Linked DNA regions of Tamandua tetradactyla. The protein of the gene in region 3 purifies or fractionates together with the protein of the main gene of each other region. This does not show direct contact. Links are inferred from orthologs where the notes say so. Each region holds a gene or a part of one and is shown on either strand. Other genes may lie near its edges.

Evidence for each region.
Region 1: the proteins of ARMC8 (region 3) and ZMYND19 purify together in Homo sapiens (affinity purification with mass spectrometry; 4 studies listed by BioGRID and IntAct, with this or other methods). This does not show direct contact. The link is inferred for Tamandua tetradactyla from reciprocal best matches to the Homo sapiens genes ARMC8 and ZMYND19.
Region 2: the proteins of ARMC8 (region 3) and TCEAL9 purify together in Homo sapiens (affinity purification with mass spectrometry; 3 studies listed by BioGRID and IntAct, with this or other methods). This does not show direct contact. The link is inferred for Tamandua tetradactyla from reciprocal best matches to the Homo sapiens genes ARMC8 and TCEAL9.

The regions. Positions count from the first base shown.
Region 1 is NC_135328.1:130,325,876-130,329,622, reverse strand, and holds the start of ZMYND19 (zinc finger MYND domain-containing protein 19), read right to left. Parts: upstream 2,244-3,747; 5' UTR 2,166-2,243; coding exon 2,115-2,165; intron 1,570-2,114; exon of another isoform or gene 773-1,569; intron 736-772; coding exon 676-735; intron 453-675; exon of another isoform or gene 1-452. UniProt on the Homo sapiens protein: May be involved as a regulatory molecule in GPR24/MCH-R1 signaling.
Region 2 is NC_135353.1:70,599,911-70,603,604, reverse strand, and holds TCEAL9 (transcription elongation factor A protein-like 9), read left to right. Parts: upstream 1-1,142; 5' UTR 1,143-1,282; intron 1,283-1,773; 5' UTR 1,774-1,839; intron 1,840-2,210; 5' UTR 2,211-2,283; coding exon 2,284-2,595; 3' UTR 2,596-3,049; downstream 3,050-3,694. UniProt on the Homo sapiens protein: May be involved in transcriptional regulation.
Region 3 is NC_135341.1:82,117,091-82,120,837, reverse strand, and holds the start of ARMC8 (armadillo repeat-containing protein 8), read right to left. Parts: upstream 2,680-3,747; 5' UTR 2,416-2,679; coding exon 2,371-2,415; intron 1-2,370. UniProt on the Homo sapiens protein: Component of the CTLH E3 ubiquitin-protein ligase complex that selectively accepts ubiquitin from UBE2H and mediates ubiquitination and subsequent proteasomal degradation of the transcription factor HBP1.

The DNA.
Region 1 (3,747 bases), on a different chromosome or scaffold from region 3:
CTTCTGCTCAGGCAAGAAATGCCCATGAATAACTCTGCAAAATACTGTGGACACAAAGGCAAATATGTTTTCCTAACCCTGAAAAGGCTCACAGTCTAATAAGAGACAAGCCCCCAGATCAAACAATCATGGTAAAAAATGTCAAGGGCTGAAATGTAACATGGCAGAGCGACATGAAGAGAAGGGAACACTTTGGTGAAGAGAAGTTTGTCAAGTAGAGTCCACCAGGGAGAGGCATGAGAGCACCAAGGGCGCAGATAGGTGATTGGAGAATGGAAGATGTTTGTGGCATACAGGAGAACTGGCAGCCCAAGGCAGGAAGACAGGCTGAGGTACACGGCAGAGTCTCACTAAGGAACAGGGACAATAGTCAATTTCACAGATGTTTTATCACAAAAATGACAAAATTTGCTTTGTTTTTTAAAGAAGAGAAGTTAACACCCAGAGTAGAGGTGAGGAAAGGCCACATCCCAGGGGTCAGGCGGGAGGTCCTGTGGGCAATGTCATTGGAACTCCAGGTAGAGACCAGGACTTTGGACATGGGAGGCAGGATATATCTGGGTTTGGGGTCTCTCACTCCCATAGCACAAGGCAGAAAACTCATTTCTCCGGGCCCTCCCAAGGCTCCCATGGGCTAACCGAAAGCAGACCAGAAAAGGGCCAGACTGTCCTTACCTCGAAGGAGTAGCTCTCCACCAGCGGGATGTCTTGTTCATCTATCAGTGTGTACTTCGTCTAGAAATTAACCAGATGTTTCAAATCATTACACTAGGGATCAGCATGAGGCACTCAAATTATGGCCAAGAGCAGGATGAACTGTGGTTTCTCGTGAAGGAGAAGATAACTAAAGGCCCCTTCAGGTCGACAAAGGACTCACCTTGGCATGGGGTAAGACACAGGTGGATGTGTTAGAATACAAGTGGGAGAGGGTTTCGTCTGTCCAGAGGAGTCTGATTCCATGCACATGAGATTCCCCAAGAGAGTGACACTGAATCAGGCTGACTGCTCGCTTCTACCTAGTCAGAGATGGTGGGCTCACTGGAGCAGAGGGAGGGGGCATGACTGAGAAGAATATTCAGGATGTCTCAGTTACTGTTTAACTAATTAGGACGGGTGGTAAGTACACAGGTGTTCAATAAACTATTCTGGTTAGCTGTCTATTCGAAATGTTCCAAACAAGAGATTCAAGTGATGAGAGATACGGCATCAGTCACTGATATCTTTCCCTTTGAAGGGGTCTCAGAATTTAATGGGGAACTCAAGCTTCGCTTAGAAAACTACATCCCCAACAGCTGCTGCTGGAGCTCTTGCAGAAAAAGAAGAAAACGGTCACATGACTGGTCTAACTCTTGGAAAGTTACTACTGCTAGCGGATCTGAAAGGGCTTCATCTTCATCTGACTGCACACTGCCTCTTCTCTCTCCCACCAGAAATCTCTGCCACTGGTGAAGGAGTCGGGTTCCCACCCAGGCTAAGGTCAAGTGGCTGGTACAGCTGCAGGGGCCAGCCGCTGGAAACAGCCAAGCCTCCCGGCTCACAGGTGCCAATGACAAACACGTAAAGGTTAGGGCCAGGTAAAGGGAATGAAAAAGCCCAAGAGCGGATGGCAGCAGAGGGAGGCCCTGGAGACCCTGGCTTCCTGTCCCTGCTTTGGAGAAACCTGTGGACGCTCTGCCAAATGTGGCCAACCCTTGGCAGCATTAAAACGAGCCCCTAAGCACCCCTGTTAACCGAGAGACGCAGAACTTGGCCACCAGTCCACACCGGACCCCCTTTAGCAGGTGTGGAAGTGGCACTGCCTCAGAAAGGGCGCTGCGTTCGACCCGTGCGGCCGCAGGTACAGGCCCCAGATAGCAGGCACACCTGGACCGGGCCAGGTGAAGCGGGACGAGGCGCGGGGCGCTTGCTCCGAGGGCAGGCCATGCGTCCCGCACGCGCAGCGGGCCCGCGGGGCTGGACCAGCAGCAGCAACCAGGTGCGTCCGCGGGCCGAAGGCGAGAGCCCTGGGTCGGAGGCCGGAGCCCGCCGCGCCGCACGCCCTGCGAGAAGGCTGCACCGCGCCGCCCGCCGACCCCGGCCTGGCCTGGCTCCCACCGCGCCCTCTCCCTGCTCACCTTCCCGGCCACCCGGCCGAGCCGCACGATGCCCAGCTTGAAGTCGGTCATGGCCGGGCCTGCGCTCGCCCGGCAGCGCCGCTCCCCCGGGAGGCGCTGGGGCCCGGGCAGGGGCGAGGCCGCGGCGCGCTTGTCCGAGGTCGGGGCCGGCGTTCGGGCGGGCCCCAGACGCGACGGGACGAGGCTGGGCCGGGATCGGGCCGCCGCCGTCGCCACCGCCGCCGGACCTGCCACGCGCCGCCGCCGCCACCGCCGCCGCCGCTGCCGCGCGCACCGCCGCGAGCCGAGGGGGCGGGGCGCCGCCGACACACCCCCGCCCGCGGCCGCCGACCAATCACGAGGTGCGCACCGCGCCGACCGGCGCGCGCCGACACACAGCGGCCAATAGGAGACGGGCGAGTGCGCCGGCGCCCTAGGGGCAAAGCGAGCGCGGGGGAGGGGCAGGGCGGGGGGCGGCGCCTGCGCGGCCGGCTCGGCACCGACGTCAGTTTCGCGGGAAGCTTTGGCTGCGGCGGCGGAGGCTTGGCGGCCCCGGCCGGGATCCCGCTGACCTTTGGCCGGACCCCGCCGGACCCCGGCCCGGGCCATGCGGTCCCAGGCCCAGACCTCGCCGGCCTCAGGCCGAGACCCCGCCGACCAGGCCGCCCCCGGCCCGACCCTGCCTCCTTGCCGGTGCCCTCGCCAAGACCGCCCCTCCCGCGCTGTGTCCAGCGGAGGCCCCGACGTCCTTTCGAGACGGATCCTGAGGCAGCTGTGTGGAGTCAGGAGCAACGAGGAGACTGGGAGAGACGCGTGGGCCCTGGCGGTGGGAAGGTGGAGGGAGGGGGCGGACGGACTGCAAGCCTTGGCCAGACGCTGGGAGGCGGGAGGGGTGCCTCTGGAAAGGCAGCACAAGGCCTTGCCCATCTGAGCCTCGGGGCTTGCTTGCTGGCCAGGTCATGTAACTGTCCTCGTGTCTCCTGGTTTGCCTGCTCTCCTCCCTTCTCTGTGCGGAGGCTAGGTCAGGCCCACCACGTGATCTGGGGGCTTTAACCCCGCAGTTCATCCTCAGCGTCCACCGACCCTCACTGTAAGCTGGGCTGATGCTCCAGGATGGAGAATTTCTGCTGGGGACAGAAAGTCCTGTGACCAGTTCTTCCCGGAAACAGGAACTCCAGGGACCATCTGGGTTACAGACTCCAGCAAGAAAGCTGAGACCCTCTCAGAGAGGAGCTAAGTGGGGCCTTGGCTGGCATGCGTCGGGATCGAAACAGGAGCAGTACTGCCCCTCTTCCCCGCCCCACTGCCAGGATTGAGGTGGGGCAGGTCCTGTGTCCATCAACAGAGGGTGATCCCCCAAACCTCCTTTCTTGTATGCTGGGTTATGTTTTAGAGACAAGATCTGCAAAGGGTTTTTTGTGAGAGACCAGAAATTCCATCTGTGGATCCCTTGAGACTTGTCTGTTCCCCTGAATGTCCTGGAGGACAGGAAGGACTGGCAGGTCCTGGCCTGGGTGGAGATGGAGGATCTGGTCCTTACTGCTCGCAGCACATGTCCTGCCAACCTCAGATTGACATAAACGTAGTGAGATTATTAGAAAGTTCTGTATGGAATTAGAGTGCTGTTCTAGTTTGCTAGCTGCAGTAATGCAAT
Region 2 (3,694 bases), on a different chromosome or scaffold from region 3:
TTCCCCCCTCACAGAAAGGGCACTGAAGCTTATATAAAATAAAAGTACATGCTTATATCTCTTGTTATTTCTCAAATGTTACCTCTGAGAGCAATGCAACATTTTTAGAAGTGGCTGCCTGTGTTTTGTGCTTATAAAAATTATATCGTTTCCTGTTAATTCAACTCATTCATTAATTTAATAGATATTTATAGAGTGCTTACTATAAGTGAGTTACTGTTCTTGAGTCTGAAGAATTGTCGTACATTCGTCACCTGTGTCTAAGAGTAAGATGTGAGTCTTAGACTTAAGACTAAGATATTGGTTGGAAGGAAACCAATATCTGTTTTCCGAAAGCCAAGTGCTTTGCATTGGTGCTATCATTTAGACTCACTAACAGTTAATTATGATTTGAATACTATTCTCTTTTTTCAGATCAGGAAACTTACTCACATGTGTAGCTGACAGTTGACTCTGCAGGCAGCACAGCTTTCTGACACACATCACAACCAGAACTCTAGAGTCACACATTACTTTTTCCATTTTGAAATACTAATTTTCTCCAAATGAAACACTAATATAATTATAATAAGAGCTCACACTTCTAAAGTAGTTACTATATGCCAGGCACTGTTCTAAGGACTGTACATGTATTAACTCATTTAATCGCTGTAATTTTGTCCTTGTCTTTTCTGACTATAAAAAGATAGAAGACTTTTAAAAAATAATAATATAAAAGTATTAAGAAATAAGTAAAAAATGCATTAAATATTCCACTCCTGTTCCAGGTCCCACTTCTACAACTGTTTCTACACTCTTTCCCAGGCCCCACAGCAACTACAGAGAAGATTGCAAATGGAATGCAGGCTGGGGGAGGGATGGTGAGTGGGGGTTTTGGTTATCCTCAGAGCGGAAGACAAAAAGAGACAATTCTCTAAACAAGAAATAGAAAAGTTCAGTATCTCCAGAAAAAGATGTAGCCTCTCCTTAATCAGAGAAAGGCAAATAACATTTTCCCAAAAACTCTGTGATAGACAACAACAGAAAAGACTGACAAGACCAAATGTGAACCGCCGGGGTAAGAGGAGCAGAGGGCGGGCCGACTTCTGCCGCGCTTTTGGTGGGAGTGGAAATTGGGGACCCTAGCTCGCTGGTGACGTGGCTCTCACGTGACCAGGAGTCGACGTGTGCAGAAGTCCTGCGAGTCTGATCCTTGTTCCGGTCTGGGTACCAGTTCCCTTTTGTAGTGCTGGCAGCAGGGCTTGAGGCCAGCAGAAGAAATCAACTTGCTGTAATTGTGCAGGTAAGTGTCAAGATGGGGGATGACGGGATTCCTAGAGTGGGGGTAGCCTAGGCAGAGACTTGAGGGAGTCTTGGTCAATCCGTTTGTCCACCCCCACTTCCAGGTCTGTAGAAAATGACCCTTGGAAAGGGACTAGGGGTCCCGGAAGAAAGACAGAGACCAGTGATAGCTAAAAATAAGTATCCTCTGTTATCTCAGATCGCCCCCCAATGCTCACCCCTCCTCCCAAGCTCTATGTCAGTCTTAAAGACAGTTCGTAAGTAATCTAAGCTTCTCACTCCTTGACTGATGAGAAATGTGAGCTAACTAGCACTGGGGAGAGAGGGAGAACTGGGGGAAACAGAAAGTGGGAAACTTTCCATAATTGAGACTCATATTGAGGAAATGTGTGTGACCTGAAACTAGTGCTGGTCGGCACACCAAGCACTCGGCCCCCTCCAACTCCTCCCCCTACCATCCCTTCCGTTTCCCATTTGTCTTCTGCTCTGCAGGTCTGTTGTCCGTAGCACGGGACAAAGCTAGAAAAGAGGAGGAAAAACCTGACCGGAGCAGTGCAGGTAGGTAAGGGGAATGTTATAAGGACTCCTAGAGTGAGGGTGGGTGAGGTAGAATCAGAGGTTGAAGGCCCCAGTGCCCATCCCCCCAGGCTACCACGTTCTGGGAGGGGTCTGTGTAATGCCTTGCGGGGATAAATAATTGGAGGAGAGCTAGGAGGTTGGAAGGAGGACCCTGGAAAAGGCGGGGGAACAGACAAGAGAAGGGAGGAAAGGAAAGTGAAGATAAGTGGGCAGGGGCAGAGAGACCCTGATTGCTGACTGAGCTGCTCAGATATTTGTTTTCAGCTCTGAATCAAAAAAGGCAAATGAAACTTTGGTCCAGAGCACTGGTCCATTCACACTTTCCTTCTTACTGTTTCCTTGCCTTCTAGGAGTAACTGTATTTAAAAAGAAATAAGCAGGGGGAAAAAAAGGAAGGAAGGAAGGCAGAGAGACACACACACGATGAAACCCTGTCAAAAATTTGAAGGCAAACCAGATAATGAGAATGAACCAAAGCTGGAGGAAGAGCCAAAGCCTGGGGAAAACCCAGAGGAAGAAGAGCTAGAAGAGGAGGCAAAAACAGAAGTAACTTTTAGAGAAAGACTGATTCAATCTCTCCAGGAATTTGAAGAAGATATACACAACAGGCATTTAAGCAATGAAGATAAGTTTAAAGAAGTGGATGAAATAGACGAGATAAGGAGAGTAAGGAACAAACTCATAGTGATGCGTTGGAAGGTTAATCGAAATCATCCTTACCCCTATTTAATGTAATTTACCTTGATTTTTATTGCTGTGATACTAACATTACCATATAGCTTCCTTTTGATTTGCATTTTCTTGATGTACCTTCGACTCTTTTCCTATTTTTAACTTGGAAGTGTTAGTAATTTTAAATGCCTCTCTTATTTATAGCTCATTGTTTACTGTATTTTTAACTGATCTACAAATCTCTAACTTTTAATAGGGGAGCTTTGTTCATTTGATGGAATATAAAATGAAAAAAGTTACTAAGTAATATATGACTACCATAGTTTGAAAGAGAAGAGTACATTTATAGATTACATATATGCTCATAAATGTCTGAAGGACGGAAGACAAAAGTACAGTCTCTTATTGGTGGGATAATGAGTGATTTTTTTCTCTGCTTATTTGTATTTTTCCTTATTTCAGAAATGAACACACATTGTTGTTATTAAAAATAATAAATTTTTATAACAAAAAAGAAGTAACCAGTAGCACTTACCAGTTTATTTTTATATTTTTATGGAAAATCCCTTTATTATTTTCTACTTTCATATACTGTGATTTTTTTAAAATTTCAAGGCCATTTAACCATCCAAAAAGAAAACAGAAATATATTTGAATACAAATAGAAGCAAGTACTGAAATAACCAGGCAAACACTTGTAAATATGCACATCCTACTCACTTGAAGTCCCATATCCCTTGAAGGAATTATCATCTATGTCATATATTATTATGAATTAGAAAGTTTATTTTTTTATCACATTTAAGAAATGTATGAAGCAAAAGCTTTTAAACGTTAGTGGTACAGCAGAATGTTGCATATTTATCACCAAAGTAATCTGTCCACTTCCTTCAAAAATAGCTAAACTTTAGCATGAGACCTTGAGGGAGCTCACAGTTGCTTTTTCTGTTATACTTTGACCCAAACCAGCAAAAACAAAACAAACCCATCAAGCCCTCCATACTTTCAAAGCTGAAACTCCAGCCCCCTATTCATTTTTCTTTGTGTCTCTATACAGCTAAACTAAGAAGTTATCAATTTACTTTTAATGGCACTGAACCTGGGTCTCTGGCACAGCAGGTGAGAACTCTACCACTGAGCCACCGTGGCCTGTCCTCAATTT
Region 3 (3,747 bases):
AGGAAAAGTCAAAGATGATTTAGAAGGTTTAACAGTGAGTGATCAGTGAAAGATAATACCATTAACAGAAATTGGAAAGTCATGACTAAGTCCTTCTTTCAGGAGAAGGAATGCATTGTGTTTAAATTGCTGGATGACATCCACACAACTGAAGATATAAAACTAGATGTAGGAGAAGTCAAGGCTGGTAATGTTGATGCATGAGTCAGTCACAGTTAAGGCCAGGAGAGAGAAGATCTCTCAGGGAGAAGTGTAAAGGGCCTTGGATGAAAATCATTGAAAACAATTTGATTTCCTTCTTGTTCAAATTATGTTTCCCAAACTATACAGTCTTCCAGTCAGTGAGCAGCTTAAGGGTATGTCTGATGCCAACCCTGCACTCCCCTAAATCAGTACACAATACAGGGCTTTGTACATGACTGGTACACAAGAAGTAGCTTATCAAAGAAATGAAGTATTCAAGATAATTTCTGATTACTATTTCCTTTCCTGTTCCATCTGCACTTTGTCTTCCAAAAAGTGGTGTTCTGGGAAGCACTTTGAAAGGTACAATCTCCACTTTAAATTAGTAAAATCAGTTTTGGATACATCTCAGTCATGCAAGTTTACACAGTTTAAATAATTTATCCAAAACTCTGGTTTCCCAAGGTTTTAGGACTGGAGAGCCAATAGACCAGACTTTGAGACTGTGATAACCTTTAAAAATAAGCCCCAAAGAGCCTAGAGCTACAGTGAATCACAACTAGAAGTAGAGAATACTCTTTAAGAAGTTTTCAAATAAAATTAAACGGGAAATATCATTTACTGAAGAAGTGAATAAAAATTTTCAATCATATGCATTATGCTAGCTAATGCACAAAAAGTTAAGAAAGATTCAGGTAAATTGAAGGATAACTGAAATCTAAACGAAACAAAGGGGAACTAAGAACAGTCCAAACACATATCCCTTTTTTAAGAACATAATTAAGGAAAAGTCATTGGTCTGCTCTCCCATAAAACCTTCCTGGGTACACAGTCAGAGGTAGACTAATGGACTAATCTTATTCAATATTTAGGTGAACAGAATTTCCCCAGTTGCCGTTTTAAAAAAAAAAAAAGGTACTGCTAAAATGGATCAGGGAACAAAACTGTTGCTAGGACCTCAAATTAAATTATTACTGTATTATTAAATCTTTTCAAGTTTGCAATATGCCACATTGCTCTAATTCTAAATCATAAGCAAATGTCCTAGGTGCTTTCAGACAAGTATGCTTGTGGGAAAAGTGAGGGAAGGGAAAAGAGACCAACTGGAGTCACAGACTCTAGGAATCAGAAAAAAGTCATCTATAAATATTCCAACTTCCCAACTAGTCTCTCAGTATCAGACTGGTTTCCATCACAAGTCTAAAAGATGTCAACCAGTCTTTGCCTGCTTGTTTCCAAAAACAGCAAACAGATCACTGGTAGACTGACCATTCTCAGAGGGCGACAGCTCGAATTTGTTGCAAAATCCTTTGCAGTTAACTCCCGGTAACTTACACCCCAGTCCTCGATCTCTCAAGAGCAACACACTGGATGTCTTTTTTTTTTTTTTTTTTTTTTAATATTTTTTCTAAAAAACTAGGTATGACTTTCTGGCATGGTAATACGTTCTCTTCTTCCAAAACCGAGAAAGGGTGATCTTTCTTTTCTCATTGTCTGACTCCCCTTAAAGAAAAAAAATGAATGCCTGGAACAACAAGCACACAGTCCCTTTAAACTCAGACCCCCGACCTCCTGAGCAAAGCGGCAATAAGGGGCTTAGATAACCACATACTCTAAACGGTGTTGGAGCTGATGTGAAATCCCCTTTGCTAAAAAGCAAGCCGCTCCTGCTCTAGTCCGGGGTCGGCTCTGCTGGGACGCGACAGAAGGGACAGAGACCCGGCTGGTAACTCGGAGGTGGGCGGCTGGGGATAAGGAACCTGCAGCACGTCTGACCAGAGCCCCAGGGGGCTGAGTGGGCGCTCGCTCCCAGGCCGGAGGCTAGCCCGCCGCCTCGCAGGGCAGCGCTCGGCCAGAGAGAAGAAGCATCGATAAGAGGAGGGCTTAGAGAACGCTCGGCAGAGTCCTAGCCGCGCCGCCAGGCGAGCCGCTCGTTCGCCCAACTACCCCGCCCGCGGGACGCGGGACTGGGACTCGGCACCGGTGGGAGCCCCGGAAGTCGGGGACGTCTCTGGCTCGGCCAGGGTCCCGTCTATCCCATTAGCTCGTCCTCACTCGCTGCCCGGCCCAAAGCTGAGCCGGAGGCCACCCTAGGGGGTGGTGCTCGCGACGCGCTTCGCGCTGGGGGAAATGATGCGGGACGGGCCCGGCTTCTGTGCCGGCGGGCGGCCGCGGCGGGTCACTCACCGAAAGGACGCTCATGCGGATTGGGGTCTCCAACAGGCACGCCATCTTGAGCCTTCCCACCCGGCTGCTGCCGGCGCCGGCGCGGGGGCCGGCACTTTCGACAGCGAACCCTTACGCCAAAGTCAGTCACCTCTGCAGAAAGGCAGACGGGTAGACAAGGACCAGCTACGCTCTGGACGCCGCTGAGGTACCAGAAGGGCCCGCAGAAGGGAACGCAAAGGGGACTCGCCCAAGGGACCTCCTTACGAATCGTCGTCCCAGAAACAGCAGCTACTCTCCGCCTGTGTGAGAGGTGGGCGCGGGCAGCGGCTTCCGCATGCGCAGAGAAGATCGGCCGGCCCCACCTGCCGCTCGCAGTGGGCGGGGCCTGGCTCCGGAGCTGTAAACTCCTGGTATGTTGCAATGTGTGAGTTAGCGTATTCATGTCCCCAAATACTAGAACGTGGGGCCACAGACGTAGTTTGAAATGCTCTTGTACAGTCATTATCTCACTCTCTCTGCACCATTTATAGGTGGAGAAACTGTAGCTCAGCAAAAGTTGTTCTTAAGCGGCTATTTGCCTTAGATTTTCCAACAGAAACAGATCTCAAACCAGGTCTTCGGCCGCCACTCAGACTCAGTGTTTCACCACCCTATGACGAAGTGTGATCTGCCTTAGCATTGTCTGCACGACCCATTTATTCTGGTGTAATGTTAAGAACGCCTGGGTTTAATCCTTGTACTTTCACTTAGCAGCGTTACCGCGGGCAAGCTAACCACTTTACTTTCCCCTTGTTTCCTCATCTGTTAAGGTAAAGCCCAAGAGGAGAGGGGAGTCAATTAATGTGAGTCGCTTAGAACATTCCTGGAACACAGAAAGCTTTATATATGCATTAGCATTTTTCCAGTCAAGTAGGAAAAATGGAGGCAAATATCTGGATAAGTCACACTAAAAAGCTCTGGTAACTGAAGCCAAACATAAATATGCTCCTATTTGCATTTTCTGATGATTACAGTAGCTCTCTCCGTTTTATTGGTGTGAACAAAACTACCCTTGACTTAGCTGAACAGGTTTCACCTTCGACCTACTCACAATCAGGAAGGTTTTCTTAGAATGATTGCAATGAGCCTGTTAACGTTAGTTGTTTTTCTACCATTTCTATGGAAGCCACTCCTAATTCGAGCTGTTTTTAACTTTCCCCTAGTCTAAAGCAACAGCCTTCCAACTGGCCTTGTAGCCTCTAGCTCTTTTTCAGTTTATTCTTCACTGCTTTCCTATCTTTCCCCTTGTACCTTGGTTCTAAATTTATTGTACCATTTATCACACTTACTTATGGGTGTGTGTTCCCCACTAAGCCGTGAGTTCCTGAAAGGGAGGAATTCCATCTTAGATTTTCT